3 linked regions of the Oryzias latipes genome follow. The protein of the gene in region 1 interacts with the protein of each later gene in a biochemical or structural test. Links are inferred from orthologs where the notes say so. Each region holds a gene or a part of one and is shown on either strand. Other genes may lie near its edges. The genes, in order: keap1, APC membrane recruitment protein 1 and mcm3.

Evidence for each region.
Region 2: the proteins of keap1 (region 1) and APC membrane recruitment protein 1 form a complex in vitro, tested with the Homo sapiens proteins (2 studies listed by BioGRID). The link is inferred for Oryzias latipes from reciprocal best matches to the Homo sapiens genes KEAP1 and AMER1.
Region 3: the proteins of keap1 (region 1) and mcm3 form a complex in vitro, tested with the Homo sapiens proteins (2 studies listed by BioGRID, with this or other methods). The link is inferred for Oryzias latipes from reciprocal best matches to the Homo sapiens genes KEAP1 and MCM3.

What each region holds. Positions count from the first base shown.
Region 1 is NC_019859.2:10,398,429-10,406,725, forward strand, and holds the start of keap1 (kelch-like ECH-associated protein 1), read left to right. Parts: upstream 1-3,743; 5' UTR 3,744-3,862; exon of another isoform or gene 3,863-3,866; intron 3,867-3,939; exon of another isoform or gene 3,940-3,957; intron 3,958-5,666; exon of another isoform or gene 5,667-5,725; intron 5,726-5,934; 5' UTR 5,935-6,778; coding exon 6,779-7,084; intron 7,085-7,362; coding exon 7,363-7,608; intron 7,609-8,297. Other genes in the region: sphingosine 1-phosphate receptor 1, read left to right, coding at 637-1,842. UniProt on the Homo sapiens protein: Substrate-specific adapter of a BCR (BTB-CUL3-RBX1) E3 ubiquitin ligase complex that regulates the response to oxidative stress by targeting NFE2L2/NRF2 for ubiquitination.
Region 2 is NC_019872.2:16,853,939-16,861,768, forward strand, and holds the end of APC membrane recruitment protein 1, read right to left. Parts: intron 7,768-7,830; 5' UTR 7,658-7,767; coding exon 4,724-7,657; 3' UTR 2,983-4,723; downstream 1-2,982. UniProt on the Homo sapiens protein: Regulator of the canonical Wnt signaling pathway.
Region 3 is NC_019882.2:13,462,268-13,470,623, forward strand, and holds the start of mcm3 (DNA replication licensing factor MCM3), read right to left. Parts: upstream 4,641-8,356; 5' UTR 4,222-4,640; coding exon 4,147-4,221; intron 4,024-4,146; coding exon 3,911-4,023; intron 3,470-3,910; coding exon 3,261-3,469; intron 3,190-3,260; coding exon 3,059-3,189; intron 2,993-3,058; coding exon 2,754-2,992; intron 2,678-2,753; coding exon 2,569-2,677; intron 2,487-2,568; coding exon 2,333-2,486; intron 2,200-2,332; coding exon 2,068-2,199; intron 1,993-2,067; coding exon 1,784-1,992; intron 1,711-1,783; coding exon 1,536-1,710; intron 1,460-1,535; coding exon 1,333-1,459; intron 1,256-1,332; coding exon 1,105-1,255; intron 1,031-1,104; coding exon 890-1,030; intron 817-889; coding exon 707-816; intron 631-706; coding exon 557-630; intron 489-556; coding exon 383-488; intron 297-382; coding exon 98-296; 3' UTR 1-97. UniProt on the Homo sapiens protein: Acts as a component of the MCM2-7 complex (MCM complex) which is the replicative helicase essential for 'once per cell cycle' DNA replication initiation and elongation in eukaryotic cells.

The sequences.
Region 1 (8,297 bases):
GATAGTCACACTGCCTTCTGTTTCTTTTTTTCCCCCCTCAAGCCCATTTTAACTGTAGTAGCTATTTTGGTCAAGCAGAAACTCTTCATTTACACCATGAGAATCAGCTTAATGTATATAAAATCAGTTGCAAGGGTTCCTGCTCAACAATTTTACAAGGGACAAATGCAGTTTAAAAGAAAACTGAAAAAATGTACAGGCTTGTTTGACAACCAACCATCTGCCTTTCGATTATTTCCTGCAAGCAACAACTATTACTCAAAGTTTTTGAACTTTATGAACAATCTCGGAAGTTCTGACTCTTTTTCTGCCCTTCTCTTCAGTTTTTGGAGTTTTTTTTTTCTTGCAGAATAATTTCGCTGCTTCCAAAGTCTAAATAGTTTCTTTTTTTCTCTCCACAGGTTCCGAGCTGCATAATCAACAAGAACTCAAGAGCACCACCTTTTGGTGAAAAGCAAAACATCTACATGGTTTTTACTGTATATCAAATTCATGTAACCCTTTAATTTGCTGAGGAAGCGGTGCCTTTTTTTGCATCTATTTTGATCCCAGAAATTTTTACTGGCCCCCTGCCAGTGCCAAACATGACTCTTTAGCCACCGAGTCCAAGAGGGTTGACAGAAACAAACCGCCGGGATGACGGCTTCAAGTTCTCTTTCTCCAGAAAACTTCTCCACCTCCCTCAGTCCCTCGCCTGGCTGCTCAGTGCCGCTCTGCAGCTGCCCAAACAAATCAGTCATTGTGGATCATTACAACTACACTGGCAAGCTGAAGGACGACCGCTGCCATGTCGGGCTGAAACCTGAGAGCATCGCATTGTTGGTGCTGTGTGGTATCATCATCCTGGAGAATGCTGTGGTTCTCATCGCTATTTGGAGGAACAAGAAGTTCCATCTACCCATGTATTACCTTCTGGGAAACTTGACTCTGTCCGACCTTCTGGCTGGGATTGCTTATATAGCTAACATTCTCATGTCTGGACCTCACACCTTAAAACTGACGCCTTTGCTCTGGTTCCTCAGGGAAGGGGGAGTCTTCATCACATTGGCCGCCTCTGTTATTTGTTTGCTGGCGATTGCAATCGAACGGCATTTCACTATGATGGCCATGCGTCCGTACCACGGGGCCAAGCGGGGACGGATGGTGGCACTTATCATAGCAAGTTGGGCCCTGGCAGGTTTTCTGGGGGTGCTTCCCATTTTGGGATGGAACTGCATTGGAAAGTTGGACCAATGTTCAACAGTGTTCCCACTTTATGACAAAAGCTACATCCTATTCTGCGTCTCCGTGTTCAGTGCAGTGCTTTTGGCCATTGTGGTTCTTTATGCCAGAGTTTTTCACATTGTGCGCACCAACACACAGCGCCAGAGGCAGGGCCTGACAGGACCCACGAGAAGAAGTTTATCAAGAAAGTCTAAGAAGTACATAGCCCTGCTAAAGACAGTGACTATTGTTCTGGGTGTCTTCATCGCTTGCTGGATGCCTCTGTTTGTCCTCTTCCTCTTAGACTTTTTTTGTTCCAGTGGCAAGTGCGAACTACTATACAAAGCCGACTACTTCCTCGGGCTAGCCATGATCAACTCACTCCTCAACCCCATCATCTACACTCTGACCAGTAGAGACATGAGAGTAGCCATTCTGAGGCTGCTGTGTCTGCCATGTCTGATTGCCACAGGCGGACAGATCAACAGGTTTGGGACGTTCCTGGAGTACAGTTTCAGCAGGAGTGAAGTGGGCTCTCAGAGGTTGGACGTGGGGCAGGAGTCGATCATTTCCACTGGAAACATAATCAACACTTCATCTCCAATTAAATCTATATATCCCAAGCTCTTCAAGTCATAGACTCTGGCAACAATGGTATTTTGGGGTATTTAGTAAAGCCAAAAAGTTAAGAAGTATGATAGAGGTGCAGCTGAATCATGCTTTGACAAATGCTTCACATTTTACAAATAAAAAATAAATGTGCGAACAGCAACAATACCATGAACTAGCTTTTTTAGGTAAGAAAAAAAGGGCCACAGTATTCTGGTCAAAATGTGAACTAAACATGACTTCTTGTCCTGATGGTGTGGAACAGGTAAGAAAATAGGTCAACCTGTATCATCCACATCTTCAAGTTGAATGGTCTGCTACTCCTGCTCTGATAAAATCCTCAGCACCATAACTGCTTTTGTTTGTGTACGTGGTGCAGTGGAGCTTTGCAGAGAAAGACTCTGAAAAGAGGGAGTTTTATTTTAAGAACACATGAAGATTGTTGTAGTTTTACTGTGGGAGGGATGAAAGTTTCTCTAATTCTCTTGATTTAGTTGAAAGTGAACCAACCAGACAAAGCAAAAGTCTTTCTATTTTCTGTTGGTCTGGCATTTTCTGTCCAGTTGCATTAAAATGTCAACACATCCGAGATGTGGCCAAAAAAAAAAGATTTTTGAATGTTATATGGTAATACTTAGACTGTGACTGAAACCACTCAGTTATGAAAACACAGTTCGGAATTTTTATCTTGTGAATAAAGTTTCATTTATTAGCTGCGGCGGGTGTTTAAAGGATAAGAATTTATCTGCACTTGTAACTTATTTTATGGGAATTCAAGAAAACTTCAGGGCTGTAACTACAATACTTCTTTCTGTCAATCATCACAAACGTTTCCATTTTTCTTGAGATATCTGCGGCTGAAATACAGTCGAAGTGGATGAATGTGACAGTTTTCTATTTTGTGCTGAACTTAATGTAGCGACAAATTTTTCATTACTGAAAAATATGTTTTTTTATAACACTTGTAATGTGAATTGTATTTTGTTACCTTCCTTTTCATTCAAATAATAAAATATTTTCTTAGGCGAACCATCACTCTTTTTGCATTTTGTTGTGTGTGATTTATGTGGTCTGAAAACACATCTGGAGGAGACATTGACTCACATGCATCCCGCTCTTATTGTCTCAGCAAAGCACAGTTTATCAGTGGGTTAACAAAAGACTTGGTTTCATTGCTCTGGTTTTGTTTGTCGTTTGATTCTTTAACAATATCGAAATTTTCCCAGATGCTGATTGCAGGTTTTTGCAATACTCCTGCAGACAGCAGTCAGGCTTTCTTTCCCACACTTGAACACGTGTGCAGAAATAATCTATAAGACGGTTGTTTTTATCTCTGCTGACAAATGAGCTTACTGACATGACTCAACAGAGGCTTGACCTTTGCAGCTGTAACTGTTGGCTTTTACTGCCACCTTGTGATTTCTTTTAAAAACAAGGCTGCTATGTAGGCTACTACCCTATTGACCCGGATTTCACAGTTTGCAGGAGTGAAAAAACTTGGTGTGTCAGCACAAGCCAAAATGTGTTTTGGTCCCATCTGAAGCAAGGCAGATTTTTTTTCTGATAAAAAATAATTGTTAGATAAGATGATTGCGAGAGAGCTGCATCATGTTTTCTTTTAATGTAGATTGGTTCAGAGATTTCTGAGTATGAGTGACATATGTATGTTCTTATTATAAGATTGAATTGTTCTTGTGTAGATGCAATGCTTATTTAAGAGGATAAACATATGAGTAAAGTATAACTGTAATGGTTGTAACAGTTTTGTTAAGCAATAAGTCACAATTTTAACTCAAAGTTAACCTTTTGGCCTGGTTTTCTTTTTTTGTTTTTTTTTAATTCTGAGACTCCTTTCCCAATAAAAGCCTACCACCCCCTGACGCAAACACGACTCATTGCTCGTCAATGGAGGCGGTCCCGACGTTCAGGAAGCATGCTTTTATTGTGAAGGCCAGTTGACTAGTACAATGCTTAGTCACGGTGAGTTACAGCCTCCCCTCCTCCTTCCTATGTGGCGCACAGCTCGGCAGAAAACGTTGGAAATAAGAGAGTACGTGAGTTGCCTTTACTTTACAGTTAAATTTTAAAATGTCCATCAGTACGGTTTTGTCAGTTCGGTTGAACGGAAAGTAGGTTTTTTGGGCGGTAAGACTGAGTACTTACTCTTTGTTAGCATGTTTGTAGCTATCAGTTCTCAGACGTTACTCCACTGTCTATTTTAGGGGCTTATTTTGCTGCTGCCGATAGCGTTACCTCCACCTCGGTGTTTTCTTCCAATCAATGAGACCGCGGAATTTTTTATCTTTTTAGACCTCAGTTTGGTCCACCTTCATCTGTGTTTTTGCTGTTGCATGCCAGCTCTGTGGCAGTTTCAGCCGAAAACAAGCTTGTAGTAAGTGTAGATGATGACCTTAGTCAGTGTGGAGTGAAAGCTAAACTTCGCGTTGTGTGAAAGTTCTTCTAGGAAAGGTGCACGGGATGGAAATCTAATTCCATCCCCGGGCTTACATAAGAACCAGCTCCACTTCTGGGTCGCGTTTTGGTACATTCAGTTCCACTCTTTCTGGCTTGGCGAATAGCTCGCAATGAGTCACCAACGAGGGAAGCTCTCCTCCTCCACCACGAATGCCAACAAAACACGTTGGACGCTCTTTGCTTGTCTTCGGCCTCGCCCCCTCCGCGTTGGCTGTTTCGCACAAAGTTTGGCGACGAATCTAGAAGTGAAAGTCTCTCCAAGTTGTTGTGGTCTCCACAGATTTTCTGCAGCTTTTTTTTAAAGTGACAGCTATTGATTGCAGGCCCGTTTTTTGGAGTTGCACCTTTTGTATGAAAGGTGCTTTATAAATAAAGTTGATTCAAATGGGGGTTCCCAAATTGAGGTGCAGGGGTTTATTGAACTTTTTTGTTACTAAAAATGACAATGCAACACAAACTCTCATTTTTTTGCAATATAAATATCTTGAGAAAAAAGTAAAATGACATAATAATGTTTATGTTATTGAAAATGTTACACTTTTTGAGCTCCTTGCTCATTTGGAAAAAGATTTGAACCAAAACAAAATGCTCTGAACACCAGCTAAATAAATAAGTTTACCCTCTCAGTTCAATACCAAAGAGATGAAATGCCACATTCACCAGACTGATACGCTAGCTGCTTGTTTGTGAGCGATAGCATGTTGAGCAATATGTTCTGGAATGTTCTGTTTTCCTTGTTAGTCACCAGGAGGAAGAAAAGTGCAGTTTCAAATCAGTGTCATAAAGTGTGTTTCGTGTTACTGTAAGTGTCACTGGCTGACTCCACAGCAGCCTTTAAACACATGACTTTTGATAACAAAATAGTCTTTTTCCTACTCTACGAACTGTAAAACACTTGTCTTTTTATCTCGTCCCTCAATACAACCTATGGTGTGTTGGTTATATAAGTAATCGTGTTAGGATTGTTGCTGACGGACTGACTCTTCCTATTCAGAGTTCACCAGTCAAATTGGCCACAGTCTGCTCTTTGTCTTTCATATCCCTGTTGCTTCATGTTCTGTAAAGGAGAAGTTGTGATGACAGTAAACTGGCCTGCATTCACTTTGTTGCACCCTCCACCCCTCTGTCATTTTAACATTATGCAATAGTCGAGTTGTTGTCCTCCCGTGGACCCGTGCCCATTCTGTCCTTGCTGACGTACTTTTGTCCAAACCAGCCTGGAGAGCAATCTCTGCCATGTTTCAGTCATGTTCTTGCCCCACCAAGCCTGAAAAATTCTCATGTTCATGTCTATCTTCATGACATGTAATAATTAAACAAAACAATGGGTTTGATTAACTGAAAATAATTAGTGTTTTCTATGTTCTTCTTACTATCAGCTGGATTGGTCACAGGATAAGAGTAAATACTTGTCAGCTGGATTTATGCCCAATTGAAGGTACTTTAGCAGTGTGTTTTTAAAGTCAAATATGTTGTTTTATTTTATATCTTTAATGTTAGTGTTTTTAGACTTTTGTTGTACACGTCTGTATAAAAAGTATATCTTTACAGTGGCATGTTAAAAGGTTCTTAACTGGGATCATGTGGTGACCACAGAATTTATCTGAGGCTTCCTAACACAAACCTTTTCTCTCCTTCTCCCCTCAGCTGTCGGCTAAATTCCCTGCCTGCTTGAAAGCAGCGGCACAACAAACGATATCCAGCTCTGGAAAATCTTAAGGAAGTTTTTTTTTTTCAAGTATAGACTTCAGTTCTTCCTTCTCCGTTTCAAAGAGCTCTCAGACCCACCAGTGACGCCTTTGGATCTCTTCTTGATTATCAAACAACAAGCAGTCAAACTGTTGGATTCCTACACATTTATCTCAACATTTGTTTTACTTTTAACGGTCATAGTTTAGCTTTGATCCATCTGATGAGTTGGTTCCTTTAGGGAATTTAACTGACCAACATAGATTTAATAAGAGACTTTCAGAGCATGATTTAATTGGCTACTGCCATATATTTCTTTTTATTCCTCCAACAAACAGGCATGTTTAACAGGCTTCTGTCAGTATCATGCAGGTGTGGAAAGACAGAGAGTTTTGTGACAAATGCAGTTGATCTAAAAGAAATCCCTTTGATTCCCGACTCTGTAGTTTAAACTTAATTACAGCAACATCAATCTTTAACTCCCATTCAGCATGCTGGAGGGCCAGTGTATAACGGCGTGCCCAGCTGGAACTGGCATCTCTCAAGCTATTTTCAATGTCATAACTCGCAGCATGACTCAGCTTGAGTGCTAAACAGAGCCAGGACATCTTCATGTGGTCATAAATAAGACTTTTGCAGAGACTAGGAAGGACAACAGAGACGCTGTGACAACTGGAAAGACTGGAGCTCTGCAAAACGATCACCTCGACTTCATTTCACATGTGGTGCCAGGATGCCCAATAACCGTGTCCACCGATCTTGAAGCAAAGACATTAAAGAGGAGAAAGACCCTTTCTAGGAAATGACAGAGTGCCTGACAGAATGCAAAGCGCTGGTGACGCCCTCCACGCGCAACGGTCACCGCGTCTTCAGCTACACGCTGGAGAGCCACACCTCGGCCGCCTTCGCCATCATGAACGAGCTGCGGTTGGAGCGGCAGCTATGCGACGTCACGCTGCGGGTGCGCTACAAAGACCTGGACGAAGTGGACTTTGTGGCGCACAAGGTGGTCCTGGCCTCCTCCTCGCCCGTTTTCCGAGCCATGTTCACCAACGGGCTGAAGGAGTGCGGGATTGAGCTGGTTCCCATCGAAGGGATTCACCCCAAGGTCAGTGGCATTTGCTTAGAATTCATCATTTTAAGGGGTTTATTTCCATGTCACGCCTTGGAATAACAGTTTACGTTTTGTGGTGCAGTGAAGTGGATGTAAACAGGATAGATGTCAAAGAGAAGATGCCCAACTGCTTTAATATGGAGGGACTGCTCTGTCTCCAGAGGATTTCAGTTTAACTCGTTTCCAATCTAAATGTTTAACTCCCTTTTGAAGATGTAACTGTTAGTTTCTATGTTAAGGAATGAAAAAGTTCTCAAACAACTCCTTCTCAGGTTATGGAGCGACTGATTGAGTTTGCCTACACTGCCAGCATCTCCGTGGGAGAGAAGTGCGTCATCCATGTGATGAACGGCGCCGTCATGTACCAGATAGACAGCGTGGTCAAGGCCTGCTGCGACTTCCTCGTCCAGCAGCTCGACCCCAGCAACGCCATCGGCATCGCCAACTTTGCCGAGCAGATCGGTTGCACAGAGCTCCACCAGAAAGCCAGGGAGTACATCTACATGAACTTCAGCCAAGTAAGGCAGTGTCACAGAGCAAAGATAACTTTTATGTAATCTTGCTTGTATTTTTCCACTGACTTGCCACCAATCAGAAAAAGTGGGGAATTTGAAGTGGTTTTGGAAGTGAAACCTGTTTCACATCTTCCATTGTGGTTCTTGGTGGGTGCTTTTCCCGCTGCAGTGGGCCATGACCCATGGCGAGCTTTATTTTGTCATGGTTGGAGCATACGTGGTGGCAAAATATGACTGTACGTCAGAGTTAATTGATCTTTGACAAGATGAGCAAGCAAATTCATGTCGAGTTGAAAGTCTTGTTGCACAAATATTTGTCATTGAGAGCTTTTATCATTTTGTTTTTGTTTTTTAATTAAAAAACGTGTTTGAAAGTGTAAAAGGTTCTTTTATTCTTTCTCAATGTCAGGAAATAGCTGTAAAAGTCTATGGTTACTTCTGTTCAGTCAGAGTATTGTTTTTGCAAAAGTTTTTAAAAGTGAAAATGGGTACATGATAGAACCTGCTGAGTCAGTTTGTTCAGGAAGTCAACTGTAATCTGTTTCCAGGTAAACACTGAAATATTTTTTCATGTAAATGCCTATTAAGATGAAAATAACTGTTTTTTTTTTTGTTTTGTTTTTTTAGTAGTTTTTACAGAATATGTTTTAAAACCGTTTTGCTCAGGTCATCTACTTGTTTAAAAAAACTTG
Region 2 (7,830 bases), on another chromosome or scaffold:
AAAACATCATAGTCTCACTGACAACTGAATACAGCTGGTTTGACCAACAAGGAATAGACTGTTATCCGTTTTGTATAACTTATCAAACAACTAAAAAAGAGTGAGAATCTATCTAAATCTTCGAGGCTTGCCAATAGACAGCTCTAGCTCACATAGCCCAGTGCCATTATTGACCAGACCAGACCATTCCATTAAAGGAATAGCTAATTCAACCTCCAGCTTAATCTCAAACAGACTTGCAGACCTTTGCACATTCATAGATCCATGATGTTTGTGATTGATACCAATTTAGTTTCAATAAAAAAATACTTGAGAAAAGCAACCATTCAGTTCAGCAACACTTTGCTTTGTTAACAGCATGTGAGGAAAACCAGCTTTTACTACATTTATATATACTTTTAAGAAGCTCCAATATATTCATTCATTCATTCATCTTCTTGACCGTTTTTCCCTTTCGGGGTCACGGGGTTGCCGGAGCCTATCCCGGCCACTTGGGCGTAGGCAAGGGATGCCCTGGACTGGTCGCCAGTCTGTCGCAGGGTAAAATATCCTCAATCACACGTCCATTCACTCTCACACTCACACCTATGGTCAATTTAGAGTTGCCAATCAACCTATGAAGCATGTTTTTGGACAGTGGGAGGAAGCCGGAGATCCCGGAGATCCCTCCAATATAATATTTATAAAAATGCAACAAGAACCATCCATTCGTATAAAAATGTAAACTCCTGTGACAGAAGTGCCGATAGTACTCCAAGAGATAATTCATTAGATAATTTTTACCCACTGGTGCATGTAGAAAAAACCCTGATAAAGAAGTGATATCATGGGTAAAATTTAAAGTATAAATATTAGGACGTCAATAGCTTTTTGCCTTTAAACGGGATTCAGCAGTAAGCTGCCTTCAGTTTAAATATAAGATTAAATATTTCTTTCTATTTGGAAACGAAGACTGAAAGTGGATATTTTAGTAAAGAAAAATAAAAGACAAAGCATAACCAATCTATGTAAATGTAATGCTTGAAATTAGTTTTACAAATATTGTTTTAACTCACTTATGTTGTCACATTTTACAGGTAAAATACATTTATTACTAAAAAGAAATTCAGCTCCTTTCTCCTTTTTCATATTAAATTTTTCTTAAACATTTCCAAACAGCAAAAAAAAAAATCACTGCAAAGTTAACCATTTTTAATGTTTTTATTATTCTGTAAATTCTGATAAGAGTAAAGAGAACAGCTTCCTTTATCAAACAGATTTTATTCAATCATTAGTTTATAGGTATTCATCAAATAAATATGATTAACTTTCCTCAAACTTCCTGTAGTGCACCGTCTAAAAAAATCTGAGTTGTCACCACCATGTTGACAATGACATTAATGAAAGACGTGACTTAAAGATTCTAGATTTCAAAATAAAACTCGATGACAGTATACTAAGCAGGAACAAGCTAAACGTTAGCGGTGCAAAATATATATTATTGCAAATTTGTGTGGTTAATTTTTTGGGGGAAATCAACACTACACATATGTTCGTTTTCATTGTCCATTGTTCGTGTTAACTTTGTTGGTCTGTAAAATCGTAATGATAAATCAAACAAGTTGACACGTCAGTGAAAAAAAACAAAAGTGTTTATCTCTGCAGCATCATTAGTTGAGACACGTAAAAAGGAACAAATGCTTAAGAACTAGTTGACAGCACTAGAAAATGCACATTAGCAACATTTTTTGTCTACAAATGCAACAAGCATTATATAAAACGTGACCTTCGGCATTCTGTCAAATAACTGCTTTGACATCTTTAGGCCTCGAGCTGCAGTTAGCATATGCTAAAACGATACCCCAACATTATTTACACAACTCAAGTCAACACTCAGAGCTGATTTAGCTTTACGTGTTTACCACCATCTAGAAGTTAGTTTAAGTAACTATTAATAAGTGACACTGTCAGACGACATTAAGCTTGGTACTTAGTTTAGCTATACTGCTATCAAGCTAACATCGCTTACTTCAACGCTTGGAATGCTAACTGTAGTTAGCTTCAGTTTAGAGAATATGCTAACAATTTGTCAACAGAAATACCTTAACAACTTGGGATAAAGTTGCCAGTAATTTGATAACTCATACGATGCTGAATCCGCAGGGAGACGTGACGGTTCTCTGCATTCTCTGGCCGTACATCAGTGCCAATGTTGACTTCAAACGGTGCTCCTCTCACCTTGTTGCTGTCATCCTCCTCGCCTCTTCTAGTTGTCTTTTGCTGCCATTGGCGCTGTCGCATTTTAGGCAGGGTTGCCAGATAACGCGAGGGAAACAAGTAAATCACAATGAAAAATTCGGGAGCCAGATAAATGAGTCACGGAAGTTTGAAAGGCTTCTAATTATTTTAGATCCAACCTAAAATTCTGAATTTCTTGGTAAAGAACGCTGATTACTTATTGTTTGATGAAATAATGGTTCTAAAAGAACAACATTGCACATTTCTAATCGGCTTTGCAGATGATTACCTATTTTAGACTTGTATTGAAAAAGCATATCACATTTTATCCATAATATCAGATAACTATAATCCCTGTAATCAAACTTAATTTTTTATTCTATATGCACAAAATAAAAATGTATTTGGTTTTATCTTTGGCAGTATCAGGGTTAAAACTTATTTTGCAGACAGTTTTTAAATGATGTAGTTCAACAAAGCCCAATTTTAAAGAAAATATGGCATTAAGCTTTCAGTTTCTTCATATCATATAACTATTAATCAGCCTGTGACATTTAACATTTATCTAAAACTTTGCTCCTAACAGAAACACCTACAGCGTTTGGGTCATGCCACTTATGTGTAGAAAAAAATGCAGGTATTTAAAAGTTTAATAAAAAAATAGGATAATTTAAAGACAAGATTTCTACTTAAGAACTGGACTAAAGCAAAACCAAACTTCAGAACAGTGCAAAGCTCACTTTCAGTGAAAGAATCCAAGCCTGATTATACTTGATATCACGTTTATTTTCTTGTAAGGCAGTGTTGTATTCAGACAAAAGCTTTGAAAATGTTTAAGGTGAAAGTAAACAATAACTCATAAGAAAACTTAGACCCAATTTGCCATTTGTAACAGCCAAACTGTACATGATACAAGAAATCAGAACCTAGGGCTATAAAGACAATTGTAGACATTTTCCTAATATTACAGACAGAAAAATAACAACACTCCATTTTTAAAGAAAAAAAATAGCTTATCTTAAATTTAAAATCCAACCACTTGTTCATCCCTCACAATAACGGAAACGCAGTTTTGAAGAGCACAATTTTCATCTGAACTTTTTACTTCCTAGTTGGTGGAGCTATTTCAAATTGAAAACAGAACAGAACAAAGAAACAAATGCAACAAAAATAAAAGCATGGTTTTTCTTAGCTCAAAAAAAAAAATTAAAAAAAAGGAATCCCAGTCTATAATCACATGCTCTCTCTCATTCATGTATTGTTTCACTGCTTATGAAAACGGATATTTTCCATACAGGGGAGTTTTAGAAGATTTGCAAATGATTCTGAGTTCCCCTAAAAACCTTCAAAATGTAAACTTAAAGTTGCAGTTGAGATAAAATGTGGGAACAATAAACAACTCCTTTACATGTGTTTTTAGTTGTTTACCATGAACATGGTGGAAAAGTAGAACTAAAAAGAGCTAAAACTGTTTTAGTGCATCTCAAACCTGAACCCACAGAGGACTGTTATAACTGTTATAAAACAAAACAACCAAAAAAGAATCTCTGGTCTGTTAAATGGCATCTTCCTATAGATGAATTTTTATTTTTTATGACAGCTAAAAAAAGACTGAAATAAAAAGGTCCACTCGCTTTATTGTCTGTGTGGATGAGTGAAAGAGGACAAAACACCTGTGGTGTGTCGGGATTTGCTGACGGAGAGAATGTGTCACAGACAAAAACTCAAGTGAAGATGTGCTGGAAATTACAGGCAGGAAGGAATTACTGCAGTTTACTGCAGATTTACAAACTTCATTCACCATTTCAGGCCTGACGTGTTTGACATTGAAAATGCAGTTACTTCTTAATAGAGTGTCATACCGGTTCCAGTCAGGGCATCTTTTATTTCAGAAGTCTTTTCAATGAGGTGAAGAAAATTCAAACACCTGGATTTAGATGTAACGCTGCTGTGGACTCATAATTTTGAAATGCAGTAAAAACAAACCCAAGTTGACATTTAAGGCAAAGCAAAAGCATTCATATGTTCAAAAGGCAACAGGCGTAGCACGGTTGTACAGCTGAAGCCGGGCTGATGATGACCCTCGCAAACAAGTGTGGCATCAGTGAAGAGGCCTCAATATCAAGGCTACAAGTGGGTAAAACATTCTTGTCAAATTCAGTAGCTTAATGAGATGAGAACTTTAATGGAAAATGAAACAGCTGCTCCTTTAAATTCTTTCCATCTACATCTAGTAGCCCTCCGTGCACATAGACTGGTACAGCACAAATGCAGAAAGTCAGACGTTCTGGACATCATTTGTCAGTTTATTCAAGCGGTTCAACTCCACTTCCCGTCGGAGTAGACAGCTCCTCCAAACACGCGTCTGTGCAAACTAAAATCAGCAATTTTTGTTCCTTTGGACTAATATAAAAAGTGATTGCTGGCATTTGTCATCCAAACTGTGGCAAATCCTTTCAGTTTAGAGATACCTCAGGTAGCTTGCTGCAAGCCACAGAGAACAACACTACATCGCTTGACTTTCACAGAGGACGGATGTTTTATCTTTACACAAAGCTCCCTTCAGAGGACTCTGAGGAAGGCTCGCACCTTCTGCTCGGCCTTTACTGCTCTGGGTAAAGGATTTCATATGAGCAGTGTTACAGAAAACACGATCACCAAGATCGGCAAGCTCCTGCTCTGTCATTCCAGCATAAACCAGGGTGCCCTGAGGTCCACAGGAGTCTGACAGCACAGGGAAGTGACGCTGTCTGCCGCTTGAATCTGGATTGTGGGACATGAAATCACAGCTAGTGTCGTCTGACACAGTAGTGCAAAGATGATGCGGTTTAAGGTCAAAGAAGTCCCCGCTGGAGGAGTGATGAGAACTTAGACTTTGGACTTTTACAGTGACGTCTTCATCTGTCCTGGGATGCCACGACGAAGACATTATTCCTTTACCGTTTCCAGCTTCTGAGGACGACATAACTATGTTCTTTTTGCTGTATGGTAAAGAGCTTGAGTCCTCTTCCAGTTGAGAGGAATAAGCAACAGCCGCCCTGGTGTCTGTGCATACATTAGGACCTTCGGTATCCAGAGACCTGCTCCTCTTATCATGGGTTAATGTGTGAGGCACGGACTGGCTGACTCCTATAACGCCATGTTGCCGGGGGAGACTGGCAACAGCCCACGCGTTACTGATCAGGTTGTGTTCATACAAATCAAACATCTGATAATCACATTCAGCAAACCCATCTTTCTGAAGGTAGCTTTCCTCAAACTCCTGATAGGGTGAGGAGATGTCCTCTTCTAAGTCCATGCGCATCTGCTCATCATATTCACCCTCGTTGTGCATATCAACCACGTCAAACGTCACTATGGTGGGTAAGGCCTCCATGTTTGGAGTGAAAGCAGAATTCCTGTCCAGATCATCCGCATTGTTGCCGAGGATTTGAGTGTGTTTGGTGTAATCTTCAAGTGCTTGTGAGAAACACACTGTCTGCCCATCATCCAGGAAGGTGGTGCTCTCTTCAGCAGAGGAACTTTTGTTTTTGTATGGTAAAGCCACAGGCTTGTTTTCTTCAAGATGTTCCTCTTTAGGTCTGCAAAAGGTTTCATAATCTGGATGAGATGAGCTTCCAAATGCTACGCTGCAGTCAGCATTTGTGGATATTGTTCTCTTTTCGGTTGGAGTGAGCACTTTTCCAGTGTCACCAAAAATGCCTACTGCAGCATCTTTCATGTTTATCGATACTTGTTTTGAATGTGCATTAGTGTTTTGATTCCCTCTGATTTCCTGTCGACTTTCCACTTTCTGTGTCAACTCCAAGGACTTACTGCACGTGCCCGGCCTCTCTAGAAAACTCTCTGCGTATAGTTCGGCACCTATTAGCAAGCGATTCATTTCTGGAACAAAAGCAGCATCCATCTCATCCTCTGGCTCAGACAAAAAGGTGCTTGATTTGGAATTGGGATGAGGTGATTTGTTCTCATAATGAGGACTGATCAGACTCTCATCAGGCGCAAAAAGTTCATAGAGTGCATCTCCGCTGTAACTGTCCCTGGGTAATCTGCCAGCTCTTAACCCGTCACCTTCTTCCTGTCCTTCCTGTGGTCCAGGGGTCGTTGAGTCATAGTAACCCTCATCGCTATTTGGAAATGACTCCTGATGTTCACTTTGGGGAGTTAGAGCATCTGCAGTTGAGGAAACAACTATACCAACAGCCTGCTGAGCACTGCTACTGTTCAATGAGTCCAAATTGTGAGAACTTGTCAACTCATTTGTGTCCGTCTGGTCTGGATTACAAGTGCAGCAGATTGCGTCATTGTTTCCCCAAAACTCCTGAAGGCACGTTTCATCAAAATCCTCAGGTGAGGCCATTTCTTCTCCACCACCTTGGTAAGTAAGGTAACAGGAAGCCCTCTTCCCTCCGTTCCTGCTCCGTTCTCCAGACACCGTGCTGTCTGTGATGCTGTCGTCCTCTTGATCTGCAGTGATATCCCCACAGCCAGTCAGCGAATCAAAGCTCTTCAACGATGAAACATCTTCGAACAGGTTAAGCCCATCTGAGGAGCCGTGAGGAATTTCCGACTTCAATGCAGACGGAGACCCCATCTGAGGCTCCACACATGGTGCACTAGAATCTATCAGGGTCTCTTGGTGAGTAGTGGAAGCTCCAGCCACCGCAGCAGCTTCCTCAAGCAGATCATGCTGCTCCTGACCGCCGTGCTCAGACTTTGGTCTTTCTTTCTCTGCGCTGTTCTCCAATCGCATCACATCAGCACTGCTACATTCAGGACCAATGGAAATGTCACATTTCATGACATCTGTGAAATCAGGCACATCAGGTTCAGATCCCAGGCACTCAGTGACAGGCCGGCTGACTTGGACAGCAGGCCCCTCCCTCCCAGACTGAGGAAAGGATATTGCAATCATCTCTGTTGTATCCAAGCCGGCATTTCTCTGACCTCTGCTTTGCTTAAAACTCTGAAAGAGAGTTCTCAAACCCCTTTTGTGTCGACCGAGTGTCAGTGATTTCTGCTGATCAGCAGAGTGACTACATTCGTTGTGACAGCTGCTTTGGAGCTCTGCAGCAGTTTCCCTTTGACTGTGATACTCTGAAGCCTCAGTCAAGGCGCACACACTTCCCAGATGGTCTGTGTGGCTGATGTTACTCAACCCATCATGGGTTTTGCTTTTGCTAATTCCTTTCTTTGAGTGCCATTTGTTTTGATTTTTACTTCGCCCACCAAAAAAGCTCGGTAAAATACAGATACCTTTGCGAACTCCAAAAAACGTCAAAGCGGTCCTCCTGAATCTCCCAGTTTTCTGAGATTTGACTGTTGTATTTATCGGATCAGACTGAACGTCTTCTGTGATGAGACAGCGGGAATGCACATCAGCGACCGGAGGACTATCTTGGGCGTCACATTGTTGCTCCTCTACCTTGCAGTGAGCCATGACTATCACTTTTACAAAGACAAATGCCGGACAGAAGGCATCACAGACCGGGTTTAAAAGTCAGCTGAAGGCGGAACCACACCAAACTCATCACCCATCAGGTAAGGATCCTGCACAAAAATAAAAAAGCCAGTCAGTGAGAAGTTTCAAAATAATTGCCATTAGGAGACAGA
Region 3 (8,356 bases), on another chromosome or scaffold:
ACAATATCAGATCCTTTCTACTATTTACAAAAGCAGAGCTGAGAAAAATCCACCTTGTTCCACCAAACACACACAAACAGTCCCTCATCATCCTCGCTCAGATGAGGAAGATGATGTCATCCGCCACCATGACCTGGTTATCGTCCTGCATGCGCGCCAAAGCTGTGCGGACATCTGCGTCCGTGAAGACTGCCGCGCCCTCCTTGTTGATGCCGTCCATCAGCGCTGCCATCTTGACCGACTGAGCGTGTGCGGACTGGAAGACTGCGAAAAGCGAGGACTTGAACTCCTTCAGCCTGAGGGAGAGGAAGAGGAGAGGGTTTTTAGGATCTAAGTTGAGGAGTTATTAATGTTGGACCTACATGAGGCCGGGGCCATGTACCTCTCAGCAGACAGCTCTACATCTTCAGCCTGCGGCGTGGCGTCCATGGCCTCCTCCTCCTCCTGCCGCCGCTGGGGTTTGGTTACCTTGGAGATTCCAGTCTGAACTACAGAGAAGAATTCAAAGCAGGAAGTTCTTCTGGGTTCAAAAGGTGCCTGAAACATCACTACTTACTCTCAGGAACTTCCTGCTCTTCGGTGAAGTCGTAGGGGCTGCGAGGCTCGCAGCTTTGAGATCCACGTCGCCCCCTGCAGGAGATAAGAGGAAGTGTTAGTGCTGACTTCAGGGCAGATCTTTTTTTTTTTTACCAATAGTCCTCCTGACCTCTTCCTCTGGCTGCTCTGTGATCGCTGTGAGACCGCCTCTTCCTCCTCTTCATCCTCTGAACCGGAGTCGCGCTCCTGTCTTGAGCGCTTCTTCTCTTTTTCCAGGACCTGCGGGTCACACGGTGGGGGCGTCATCGCAAAAGCCAAAATCCCCTCGCAGGCGTGACAGAGTGGGACCAACCTTTTTGAAGTAAGCAAACTGGACGAGCTCCACGGCGACCTCCGAGTCCACGCGCTCCACCACTTTGCTGATGCGGGATTTGGCGTGCGCCGTGGAGAGGCGGATCAGCGTCTCTAGAGTACGAGCCGTTACTGGGGAGGTCTGCGGGGAGGAGATGAGGTCAGAGCCGGAACTGTATGCCCAAAAAGGAAAAAGGAAGAAGAGCTCCTGCTCACCCTCGCCATGTCCGATCCCAGCTGCTCCTGGCCCCTCAGTCTGGAATACTCCTCTGCGATGTGATTGGCCGCCTCTTCCGTCAGCACGGGAGTCACCGCCTTGGCGATGTGGATGTACTTCCTCATGAACTCCTTACTCAGAATCTTATCCCTGCAAGCGAACGTCCATGTTTAAATTCAGGTGATTCCTCGGAAAATCCTGTGGCGTAGAGAATCTGCGCCTCCTACTTCTTCCTCCTGCTTCCGTGCAGCAGGACGTTGTGTTTCTCATAGATCTGCAGCTCCTCGCGCTCGTCCGCCGCCGCGTCCGGATCCTCGGTGGTCAGCACGTCCACCGTCCCGCCCAGAGCCATAGCTAGAGAAGGAGGCGACATTGTTAGGAAGCGAGGCGTAAAGCGGGCGCAGACGACACCACTGCGGCTCTTTAGTACCTGTCCCCTCCTGCTCGCGCGGGTCGCGGTAGCGGTGCATCCTCAGCACGTGGTCAGAGACCTCGCGGTCCTGCTCCGGGTCCATCTGGTCCAGAACGATAAACAAAAGGTCGAAGCGAGACAGGAGAGAGTCCTGCAGGCCGATGTTCTCCATGGGGGTCTTGTACTGGTCATACTGCGGCAAAAATAAAAGTAGATGAAAGGAAGTAGGAGTCAGTGTGGCGAGATTTTGCAGGGGAGGGGCTTACCCTTCCGTAGACCGGATTGGCAGCGGCCAGCACGGAGCAACGGGCGTTGAGCCGTGCGTGGATACCGGCCTTCGCGATGGTGACGCGGCCCTGCTCCATCACCTCGTGGATGGCCGTGCGGTCCATGTCGGACATCTTGTCGAATTCATCAATGCACACCACGCCGCGGTCGGCCAGCACCATGGCGCCCGCCTCCAGGCGCCGCTCGCCTTGGGGGAGAAAACCCATTGAGCGGTGGAGCAAAGGAGAACGATCGAGTTAGTCAAGAGAAAAGGCGGGGTTACCTGTCTCCTGGTCGGTGGTGACGGCAGCCGTGAGACCCACGCCAGACGACCCCCGCCCGGTAGTGGGGATGGCTCTGGGCGCCGTGTGGAGGACATATCGCAGCAGCTGGGACTTCGCCACCGACGGGTCACCTGTCAGAGGTTAAAGACCCACGATCACCAACGGGGAGGTGAAGGGGGGTTGGGGTTGCGCTTTTTACAATAGATCACAAGATAATGGAAGTGGGTCCACCCAGAAGCTCCTGGATTCCTGCGGTGGTCTTACCGATGAGCAGGATGTTGATGTCCCCTCGGATGCGGGAGCCGTTCTCCAGAACCTTCTCCACGCCTCCCAGCAGCATGCACAGGATGGCCTTCTTGATATACTCGTGGCCGTGGATGCTGGGAGCCAGAGAGCGCGCCAGCTGGTCAAATACGTTCTACAGGGGGGAGAAAAACCCAAATGTTTCAACGTCTCTGTCTGCTGAAACAGGAAGTTCTAAAGGGAGGAAAATGACGCACAATGGAGCGAGTCTGACTGAAATTCCTGATCTTGGCAGCGTCGTCGGCAGAGAAGCACGGAGACACCTCCTTGCTCATTTGTTTCACGTTGCATGCTATCATGATCGTCCTACAACCCAAAAGAATTGAGTTAATGGTCAAAGTTTCTCAGTAAACCCGGAAAGCGGCAGAGAAACGTGTCTCACCTGAAGGTGCCGGAGGTGAATCCCCCCTTCTTTCCAGGAAGGCAGCGGTACGTTCCGATCACCTGCACCCTGTCTCCGGGTTTCACCATATCCACCAGGTCGTTGTCTAGGATGATGTCCACGGAGCGGGGCAGCTGGCCCGCGGGGGCCTTCTCGGGCATTTCCTGCACTGTGATGGTCTGGTGGTCTTTGTAGATGGACAGACCGAACTCCGTCTCCAGCGGGTTGTTCTCCTCGTCCTGAAAGCATCACGTTCAGTCCAAAGCTCGCGTCTGAGGAGGCTAAGATGGCAGCTTCACCTGTACCTTGGTGGGGTAACTAGCGCTGGAGGGAAAGGCGTCCAGCGAGGTCAGGTCAGTGTACTTCCTCTCCATGGTCTTCTTCGTGGCCGGGCAGTAGTGGACGCTGCGCACCACCTTGGGACGCACCAGAGAACCTACAGACCACAAAGTCACATCAGGGCTTCTGCCGTCCTTCTGCCAATCCCACAAACAGAAATGTGCTCACATTTGGTGATGATGCCCTCCACACAAACCATGCTGCCCAGCAGGCGGGACGTCAGCGTCCGCGGCGAGACGTGCTTGGCGCCGAAGCTCCCCTCCAGACCCACGAAGAACTCCTCGTGCTGCTTGGCGTAGGTGGCGTCCACAGAGGCGACCAGATCCTTCAGAGCCCGCTGGAACGCCACCAGCTCCTCGAATGCGTTGGTCATCAGTCTGTTAGAGGAAAATTGTTCAAATTCATTAAAGAAATACGGAATTTCCTGAGGTGATCTTCACTCATGATTAAAATGTAATTAATTTCTACTAGTAACAAATTCCTTTCAAAATAAAATATATCCTAAATATATCCCAAAATAAAATATAACCTATATTTCCTGCTGCAGCAGATTTACTTGACTTAAAATAAAGACAATTAGTTAAAAAAAACATACCCAATGTTTATGTAAATTATTAACCTTTTTTCAAAGTCAATGAGCCTCAATAGAGACAAAAGGGCCGCAATTGACTCCAAATCACCGTTTTGATAAACTAGAGTAAAACGTTACATTTCTCCTTTTGATCACGAAATCGCCCTATGATTTTCGCTGTTTTGTGTGCACGTGTTACGTTTACAGAAAAGTGTGTGTGTTGTGTTTGCATTGTGTTGTTTCTGACTTTGCAGCTCGGGCTTCGTTGCGTCTCCTCAGGTCGTTGATGTTGACGATGAGTCGTGCTTTGTTCTCGTTGATCATGTCCCGGACTTTGCTTTGGTAAATGCCCTGGTCTTGCTAAAAATGAAAAGTCGTGATGAAAAACATTAAAACAGAAAAAATAATTAGTTTCGCCAAAACCGAATCACTTCACGTGAGACCAAAGAAACAGAACAGAACAGTTTTTTGCCGCAGACTCACATCGTCGTCCAGGAAGTCCAGATAGTCCCTCTGTGCCTCCCTCATTTCCTGGTCATCTACGACGTCGGTCGACATCTTTGTTGTAAAGTTAAGTTTTTAAGTCTTTAAACTAATAAAAACTCTTTAACCGCCGCAGTGTGCTCCTCTGCAGGCAAACCACACAAGTGAAAGAGTTTCGCGCCACTACATATCACGTGCCACCAAAGCGTGCACCACTATTGGCCAGCTTGCAAGCCACCTCCTCGGCTCCCAGTTCAGCTATCCAATAAAGTGTTTGCTTCCCTCTGTGGCCCCGCCTTCCCAGAGGACTCCCGCGAAAATGCAGCGGAAGGAAGGAGTCTGGAGGTGGGCGTCCATTTCCAGACAATTTGCAGTTATAGATTTCTGCCAGTAGAGGGCGACAAACACCAACCGGAAATTCAACAAAACTACAGAATTTTTTTAATTATGTAAATCCTGGAGAACTTAAGAACACATTTCCTTTGGACTTTTAAAGTTAATTTGACTTTTTTGTTTGTTTGTTTATATTGGGTAGCCGCAGTCAACAGCGGTAAAAAAAAATAGAAAAAACTAACAAGTAAAAGTTTTTAAAGAGGAAATAAATATGAATTATTTTTTCCCTAATTACTATTTATATTCGGATTTATCTAAACATGCAACCAGGTACAGTTTTTCTCAGTTGCTCTAGTACAATTCTCAGATCAGAATTGAAGTTTGCAAATACGTGTGTGCATTTCTCAAAACAATTTGTACAAACAGCAGCATAGATCTTTGGTTCATCTCTCAAAACTAAGTCTTTATGTCATTGAACATGTCAGTGCCATCAGAATGTCAAGTCCTTGTGTCATTGTCTACGAACAAGACAGTCAAATTACTTAGTCATGTTGTCAATATAACTGTGTACTTTAGAGGGAGGTTCTGATGTAAACTATGGCTAAAGTTTGGATGACAATTATTGTAAAATGTAAGTTACACCTTTTCTGTTTGATTGCAAGAGACTGGACAAGATTCACATTTACACTTTTATTGTTCATATTGTAATTTGTTGACAGACCATGTCATACCAACATAAAAAAAAAAACACCGCAAACAGTAACACAAACGGAAAATAAAAGAAAGGACAATATTCTGTACAACAGTACAGGCAGTGCAGTAGGAATTGGTGTGGTCTTCCTACACCTCTTGTCGTTCCTGTATTTTAGGCCACGAATTCTCATCCACATCACAGCGAATAGCCTCTCTTGCAATGCAGTGAAATATGTTTGTCACATTATGACAACTTGGTCAACCATTTTGCAGTTGACGACTTACGATGAACTAATGACTAGGTGTTTTGAGGAGTAAGACTGTTGCAAGGTGAACTATATAATACATTTTTGATCAACATGACATAAACAACTGATAATGTAGCAAAGAGCAGAGAATTGTACATAATCATTTGCATGGATGTACCAAAGCAACTGCAACTTGTTCAAAGAAGTGAGAAACTGCTTATATGATGTGCATAAGTGACATCATGATGTGAATATTGAACAAATAGTTTTGGGAATTTCATTCTGATCTGAGAATTGTACTGAAGCGACTGAGAAAAACTGTAATATACAGTTATTGAAACAACGTCTAATTAAAAAACGTACATGTGGTATATTTATGAGAGAATTCTGCTGCCCTGAAAATGTGAATGTAGACGTGTTGATTCATAAAAATGTGACTTTTTACATCTGGTGGGCGTGTCATGTGAGTTTGACTCCGCCTTCCCCAGTTCTCCAGTTTGTTTTGCTTTTGCCGGTTCAGAGCCTGGATCATGTCTTGTTAGTGTTTGAATACTCCCGTCTGCTCGCCTTTTGTTGGAAGAGAGTCGGTCTGAGGTTAAAACCAAGCGGGTGGAGTTAAAGCTGTTGTCTGGTCTACCTGCGCAGGTGAGATGAATATTTCTCCCTTTTAAATAACATTGCCATGCTTTATCTCTCTGAAATAGTCTTTGTAGTATAAAGATTTTTTTTAAGTATGAGTTTAGTGACGTACAAAATTGAATCATGATAATCCAACAGACTGAATGCAAATTTGTATACCTGTTGAACGGCATTTTTCTCACCAAGTCCCAGGTTTGAGCAGTTGGTGGTGGTAGAAGAAGGGATATGAATGGTGCTTTTCTCATAAAAACCTCTGATGGGTGAGGTCAGGCTGCACCCTTTGAGTAGATGCAGATACCTTTTGGGAAGATTGCATCACAGCTACTTTGTGACAACTATAGCTGACATTCCTCTGTGTAAGTGTCATAGAGGGCCTGTTTACAGGTTTGGTCGTTTGCTTCATTGCTGACTTCAATTAGAACACATTGTCTCCCCTTGCACTGGCATTTTGCTCTTTTTCAGTCTTTAAATGCATTGTGCTTATAGTTAAGGCTTAATAGTTCAGAGTTGTACTATGGACCCTGTTGAACAAATTAATGAAAAGCCACAAAAAACGTTTAGGATTTTTAAACAATCCTTTTATCTGTGCATGTATTTCTGCTGCATGTCTCTGATGTCAGATTTTTCAAAGTCCCACTCTGATCATCTTTTGATCTAGTTGCAAAGCATTCCTAGTGGTCTTTTATGATTATTGACTTTGAAAAGCATTTGACACTCTCAATCATGTCATCCTACTTGACGAACTGAAAGTGCATGAGATAAGAGGACTAGCGCTAACTTGGGTCAAAAGCTATCGATAACACTTTATATTAAGATTCCTTAACAAGCTTTGTTAACACATTAACAAGCATTATAAATTAATTTATAGGGTGTTAGTAAGACATTTATTAGTACAATAAGTCTAATAAGGTTTATTAAATTACTTAGTTAACACATTTACAAGCATTATTATTAGGATGTTTTCAAAATGCTAGTGATGCATTTACTGATATTATAGGTGCCTAACAAATGTGTCAGTGTTAATAAGCTTAATAAGATTTATTAACAACCTTTGTTAACAAATTAAGAAGTATTATTATTGTTTAGGGTTCTAGTAAGATATTTATTAGCATTATAGATGCCTGACACAAGCCTAAGTGTTCATAAGCTTAATAAGTTTTATTAACTAACTTAACAAATTAATAGGCTTTATTAATGTGTCAGATGCTAGTAAGATATTTATTAGCATTATAGATGTCTTGCAAATACCTGAAAGTGTTAATAAGATTTATTAACATCTAAAGTCAGACCATTTTCTTCTAAATCCATATTACTAAACTGCTTATAAGCTTTACAAATGTATTAATTAACTTTGTTAATAGTTTATTAATTGTTTTGCAGCACCCCATCTAAAGTGTGGACGTTTTTTAATACAAACAACCACAAAGCATAAAGATTGTAAAAAGAACTTTATGAAATTAAAACAGACTAAACATACACAAATTGTTCTGTAAAAGATATATAAAAATTTAATTCAGACAAATAAATTTTTTTTTAAAACATATATACTGTTGTTGGATGACTAGCATCATAGAGGATAAACTATTAGCATCTATCCTGAGTGAAACATTCATTGCAAATCCCATCACCAGGAGACAGTTCTCTGCATTCAATGCCAACAGCATTCAACCACATTTGCCTTGCTTCAAAGTCCACAAGAAAGTTACACAAGCCAGTCATTTTTGAAGAACGAAGACAATAAACCTACAGGAGCCAGGCTAAAGCTAACACGCTAACGACCGACCGGTGCAGAATCAAAGATGGGCGGGGCTTTTTTCGTCACCTGTGTGAAAGCAAAGTCTAAGAGGCCATTCAATTGGCTGAAAGTGAGCACGCCTGTTTTGCTGATGAGTTTGATTGACAGATTCATTAGCCAATGGTGACATTGGTTAACCTGCCCATCTTTGATTCAAAATCAAAGATGGGCAGGTTAGCGTGTTAGCTTTAGCCTGGCTCCTGTAGGTTTATTGTCTTCGTTCTTCAAAAATGACTGGCTTGTGTAACTTTCTTGTGGACTTTGAAGCAAGGCAACAGTGGTTGAATGCTGTTGGCATTGAATGCAGAGAATTGTCTCCTGGTGATGGTATTTGCAATGAATGTTTCACTCAGGATAGATGCTAATAGTTTATCCTTATTAGCTATGATGCTAGTCATCCAACACCAGTATATATGTTTTTTTTTTTTGTTTTTTTTTTGTCTGAATTAAATTATTATATATCTTTTACAGAACAATTTGTGTATGTTTAGTCTGTTTTAAT